Caenorhabditis elegans: one gene and its partner. The protein of the gene in region 1 purifies or fractionates together with the protein of each later gene. This does not show direct contact. Each region holds a gene or a part of one and is shown in the gene's direction. Other genes may lie near its edges. The genes, in order: T01G1.2 and nssp-76.

Region 1 (3,057 bases):
TAGGCTGAGAGCAGGAGAAACGATGGAAAAAAGTATCTATTCTGAGCTGTGTTAGGCTGACGAGTCGTCAGTAGAGCAAGCGGCAGATCAGGCAATCAGCAGAGCTCCTGGAGCCAAAGGTTGTTCTCAACAGAAGACTCTTTGTGTTCTAAGGTTACCGAAGCAGAACTTGACAACTTTTGATCTAGACATTCGAAATTGAACCAAGTACAGTAACCCGTACGGTGTTTTTCTTCGAAAAGTCCGGGTTCAGAAAAATGAGCCCATCCATCCCCAGTGTGCTCCTCAATTCTTTTTGCGTGCTCACTCAACCGATGCCTAATTTCAATTCGCAACTCATCCTTCTCCTTCTTTTTCTTCATCTTCTATTTCGACTGAGTGTTTGTATGTCCGAATTGATGAACCCCTCTAGCACTTCTTCTCCCTCCATTTCTTTACTCAGCTTTTTATTCTCAACTTCTTGAAATGGAAACTTCTTTTTTAAATGTCAATTCCACGAAGAACAATTTCTTTTCAAACTTCTGGTAGTGACACATCTACTGTAGTGTATCTATATTATAATTTGCATATCCTAGTCTAGTTTCTCTGAGATGCATTTTTTTTGATTTTCAACAAAGAAAGATTGTTTTCAACGAAAGACCTTTCTGTTTACCTCACATATCATTTGATTTCTAGGAACACAAGTTCATTTTCTTTATATAGCGTGTGGTTATAGTACGCATTTGAATATTTCATGAATTTTTTTTTCCGAAATTCTGAAAAGATCAAGTCGTAAATATTGCATATTTCGCTTTTTCGATTCGGTCTCCTCTTCACATTTAGTGTGTTAATAGTCATAGGTTCTCATGAAAACAACCGAGTCAAACCAAGACCCAGAATTGGAAAACAGCTGAAATTTTGATGAAGACAATGGCATCTAGAACGGGTAAACTCGGCCTAATCTAGTCTAGACCATCTTACTTGAATCCGAAAATAGCCTATAGTTTTTGGATTACTGTAGATCTATGGATAATCACACAAAACTTTATCAAATTTCGATGCGAATCCAAAATTGATAAAATGAAACTTTGGTGTAGGATATTAAACTAGAATATCATTATTTTTCCACTAATTTCCATCAAAAACAATCCAGAGACCCTCCAGAGTCGTTATCTCTTTTCTTTCACTTCTCTGAACCTCAAATAAAGATAAAGAGCATACACGAGGAGTGAGCACACATCATCATGTCTTCTTTGAGATGTGCCTGAGACTGAAGAAAGATACTAAGAGTGATAGAGTGTGAAAAGAGGAAAAGAGCATCGTCTCGTGTGATGATGATGATGATGATGGCCACATTAGCTCCGCCTCCATCACTCGTTTTTCCTCCGGTTTTCTTTTTGACTTTATACTGGTCTTTTTTTCTTTGAAATTTTTTGAAAGTTTAAACCTAGTGAACATCTAGAATCATATGATCAATCCCATCAACAACGATCAACAATGTTTTACGAAGCACTTTAATGTTTCAATTGGCTTATTTTTATATCTCAGTCTACATCCAAAATTCATATCACTCGTTTTTTTTTCAGTTTCACTCAAGTGTTGCCCGAAATGACGTCGAACGATAGATCAAATAAGCTGAATGAGAAGCGTACCAGTGTTCAGATGAAGACAAGTTTCTCCCAAGAAGTATATAAAACTCCGATCAAGCAAATTCTTACTGCACCATCACAATCCCACTCACGAATCACACCAGGTGGACAGGTGAGTTGAAAACTTTCAGAAAAGAACATTTTTGAACGTTTTTCAGCTCTTCTTATGTGTGATGGGACTATTGATAAGTGTTGCGATCAGCATCTGGTTAGCCGCATTTAGTCGTGAAAATGGATGGCGTCGAGCTGTCTTCGCATCGGCCGCTGGTATCTGTGCGATTCTCTTCATGCTTCTCACTATCATGACCTACAGAAGAGCGAAAAAGTAATATTCAGATAGATTTCTTATCCAATTTCCAATTACTAATACTTTCAGCCCACAAGAACCGGAGCCACTTCCAGATCTTTCACAACGTCGATCTACAATCGGAGCACGAGTTAGTAAACGATCAATTGCGGCGGGAATGAGCGCAGACGACTGTCCAACGCAGGTTAGTATTTCTAGTAAATACAAAATAATTTTATTTCAATAATTTATATATTCCAGGTCTTAGTCACTGGAACACGTGGTTCCATTCCATCCTAATCATCTCACGGATCACCTTTTTCAACTTCACTCTATTCTTTTTTGTCCATATCGGGTAGCGATCATCAAAACAACACTCTTAATTTCTTCCTTCCCCCCACTCAATCAAATTTAAAAAGATAAACTCAAAAATCTAATTTTTCTGTTTTTTTTTGCGAAAAAAACATTCACTTCATTCCCTTTTCCCTCCTTTTCTGAAAATTTTCCATTTTTCATTTGTTTGTATCATTTGTTCCCCCTTCTTCGGTTCATATCCGAATTCTTCCGAAATTTCCATTTTTAACCCGTTTTGTGCACGATTTTTAAATATTTTATTTTTTGCAAATAAATAAGCTTTTGAATATACTCTTACCTCATCAACATCGCAAATTAGTTTTTGTTGATATGTGATTTGATCTTGAACATATTGAAGCTTCTGTTTTGCACTGTCAATTGCTTCTAAAAGTCCATCACGATAAATTACATCTTGTGATTGAGTGAATTGCTTTTCCTGAAAAATATTTAAATTTTAAACAATGTCAGTTTTTCAATCTTTTGAAAAAATACCGACATTTCAATAATTTTCAAAGTAATCCAGATTTTTTTTCCGATAAAACCGATAAACAATCATTTTAAATTTTTTCAGATTTTTAAAATAAAAATTTTTTGAAATTCGTTTTTTCGCTTATACGATACTTTCGAAAAAAAGTAAAATATTGGTCATTTTTCTTTTTTTCAGAAGTAAATTATGTTTTTTCACCAACTAAAACAAAATTTGATGAAACATTTGTTTTTCAAAAATCGAAAATTTTCTTTCTCCAATTTGCAATTTTTCGATGATTTTTTTTTGTGAAATCTGTTTTT
Region 2 (3,413 bases), on another chromosome or scaffold:
ACACAACACCCACCGTTCATTTGCTTTCCAGTACTCCTTTGTGTTTCTTACTTCTTCTTCTTTTTTTTCCACGTCTCTTGGTGTACATGAATCTTTTCCTTAAATGTGGTGTGAAGCTGCTTGGTTCCCAAAAACAAAACAAGGTTCAGAAACACGTGAATGATTGGGTTTTTGTTGTGCAGACTGTGAAACGAAGAAGCACAATAATGTGGCATTGTGGTGAATGAGCAAGAATGCTTTGCTTTACAGGAAAAACAATCCGGTGTTTTTACTATTTCAATTTTAGAATGATTTCTTAACATGTTTTGAAAGAGCATCATTTTTTGCAAAATGCAACGGGCTGTCTAACGGGCATGATATAAGTAAACTTGGTTTGCAAAACTCATTTGAACTAATTTTAAAATGCATTTAATTTTCACCGGGATAACTTACAAATAAATGAATTTTAAAAAAGTACAGAAATGTTAAACATTCAATTTACAAAGGCATATATATACGCGTAAATAAAAACATAATACACCGAAACAAACAAAATGGGTTATATATGTAAGTTTGGTTTATTTGAACATTTTTAAAAATGCGGTTTCGTGTTCTGATTTTTTTTGCGATTTATTTTAACTACGATAGGTTTTTGATTTGAGAACCAGAAAAAACATGAATAAAAAATACCCAATATTTTATGAAAATAAGTTGTTTTCTTCAAAGCAACTGGGTTGAAAAAATGTAAATCTTTGCAAAATTAAACGATTGAAATTTCATCTTGATGGTGGTTTTTTGTTCAATTCTGTTTTACAGGGTCATATTAAAACGTTTATAGAAGGAATTTACAAACTAATTTCAAGCTATTATTTTGAGTTCTACTGTCACACAGTTAAATTCAAATTTTAAAGAGAAGTAAGCCGAATAATTTAGTTAATTCGAAAAAAATAAGGCTATGGAAAAGTTTCAAAAAGATGTCAAATAGTGTTGGTAAGTTGCCAGTTGCCAAAAAAGTGCCAACAACTGGCAATTTCGGCAACCTGCCAATTTCAAACACTATTTTAGGCAAGTTTTGCAATTTCACACAAGAATAAATCATATTTTCCGACCAAACAAACATTTACTTTTATGTTATTAATTCTTAGATTTTAATTAGTTTTAGTTTCAAAAAAATTGATTACCATTCTGAAACAAGCAGTTCTGTGTAGCTGCTGGGCTAGGTCCCTGATTTTGATATTTTGCGTAGTTGTTGGCAGTTTTTCATAATTTCCCTTAATAATCTTATTAAGAGTAGATCATATTACAGTTTGAACATATTTTGAAAATGTATTGCAATGAACAATTATCGTAATAAAGCTTCAAAAAAGGTTTTTATAATTTTTTTATGGCAGTTAAAAATGATCTAAAATATAGCATAGTTTAAGCTGAAATCTCAAATTTTCGCCACTTTTTCGGGTAGCAGTGATCCAAACGTTGACTTTTTTGAATAATCATCCTCTATTGCATATTTTGGTAGTTTATCTCATAAAATTTTGTTGATTAAGGTACATTTAAAGCGGATAAGTAACTAATGTCGATCCTTTTTAGTTACCTATCAGTTTCAAGTAGCCTTGATCAACAAAAAACACTAGATAAACCACCAAAATATGCATTGAAATGCAAACAAGAAAAAATTAACCTCGGACCTCTGCGACATGGAAGAGTGGTCAAAATTGGAGTTTTTAGCTGAAATTAGGCCTTTTTTAACTTTAAACTGTCATGAAAAATGTGCGGACATTTTTTAAAATTTCCAATACAAAATTCATTCAATTTCAGCACAATGTTTACTGCTCTTTCAGAAAAATAATTTTAAATTAATAACAAGACTAATTAACTTAAAATTTGTTATAGCATAAGATTTAACAGAAAACGGAATAGAGAAATTTCATTTTCATGAACTTTTGAACCAAACATTATTTTTGTCACAGTTCTGAGATCTCCGGTCACACTTTTCCATTCTCCCCCAAGCTTTTTTCGATGCTCAGAAGCTCCCTAAAAATAGCGTGAAATGGCGACATTCTTCTGATATATCATGCTTTTCTGTTTTTATCTCCGCCCATTTTGGGGTTGTACATTCTCGTGCCTTTGCGACATATAGTGCCCGGACTAACATATTCATGAAGCCCCACATTTCACTTCTAGTCAAAGAAGCATCCATGCCGCACTGCCGACGTGTCCTTGTTTTGCTCGTTTTATTCGCTGCTATTTCCAATTTCGGTACGAATGCTTTGAAGTGTCGACTGTACCATCGAATTTGGGAAGATGGTCACTTACTAAGAATCAATCCAGACATTTGCCACACTTCTTCGCAATATTGTGTGAGGGCAACATATTCGGACCCAGATGAAAGAAAGAAGAATGGATACTCGATGGGATGCGATAAAGTGGATTGCCAAGGAATCGACGATCCAACTTACACTGGATGGCAACAAAAGAAGACTGGAGAATATTGCCGGAAAAGCAGAGATTACGGTAAGAAAGGTGAAATCTGCTGCTGTGCTGATGACATGTGCAACTCGGTTCGACAAACTTCCCTAGCTCTTTTCACCTCTATTCTTATTATTTTCCCAGTATTATTGAACATTAATTGATATGCCACATAGAAATCAAACCACTCAAACTTCCCTTTACATGGTGCTTTCTTCTTCAAACAAGTTTTTCTTTTTAATTTTACATCGCTAAATTTAATAGCATGCAAATATTGTTTTTGTCATTTTTGTTGTAACGGGTTATCATTTCATTTTCAAAAATTGTTTTTAATAAATCACTTTGTAGTATTCAAGATGTCCTTTCAAATATTTTAGAATTGTTCTAATAGAGAAATTTGGAAATGTTTGCTAACAGCTATTTAATTGTTTAACTTGAGCACCAGTTAACAAAAGCATTTCTTCATTTAATCCAATTATATTTTTATAATAAAATTACTTGTATGTTACTATAAAATGGAGTTTTAAGTACAATTTTTAGATGTAATATTGCTTTAAGTTTTTTGTGGTAGACGCAATATCTATCAACAAATATATAAGCTGATTTCAAGAAAACTGCCGCAAGGCAGGGTTTAGTTGGAAACATTTAGAGTTGGAGGCAAATATTCCGAAGCTAATTCTCAATTGGCCGGTTTCAATTGCATTACAAAAATTTAATATGTAGATTTGTTCAACAGAATTTGTTCTGTGATTTCTAAACTGTAAAACTCAATCTGACAATGAATATTCGCAGTTTTATTTTCCAAAGCCACAGAGACACCTTGAAAACGTTGTATTGAAATTTTGACGTGAATTCCATAGTTTTATCAGATTTAAAAAAGAAAACCACATACTTTCGGTACATATTGAACAAAAAAGTTACATCTACACTCAATTAGTTTCGCTGAACTATTTTTTATCTAATATAAT

The links.
Region 2: the proteins of T01G1.2 (region 1) and nssp-76 fractionate together in Caenorhabditis elegans (co-fractionation; one large-scale study listed by BioGRID). This does not show direct contact.

What each region holds. Positions count from the first base shown.
Region 1 is NC_003282.8:11,352,849-11,355,905, forward strand, and holds T01G1.2 (uncharacterized protein), read left to right. Parts: upstream 1-1,559; 5' UTR 1,560-1,587; coding exon 1,588-1,740; intron 1,741-1,786; coding exon 1,787-1,953; intron 1,954-2,004; coding exon 2,005-2,119; intron 2,120-2,175; coding exon 2,176-2,214; 3' UTR 2,215-2,557; downstream 2,558-3,057. Other genes in the region: Kinesin-like protein klp-12, read right to left, coding at 2,567-2,704.
Region 2 is NC_003284.9:2,442,166-2,445,578, reverse strand, and holds nssp-76 (Activin_recp domain-containing protein), read left to right. Parts: upstream 1-2,174; coding exon 2,175-2,609; downstream 2,610-3,413.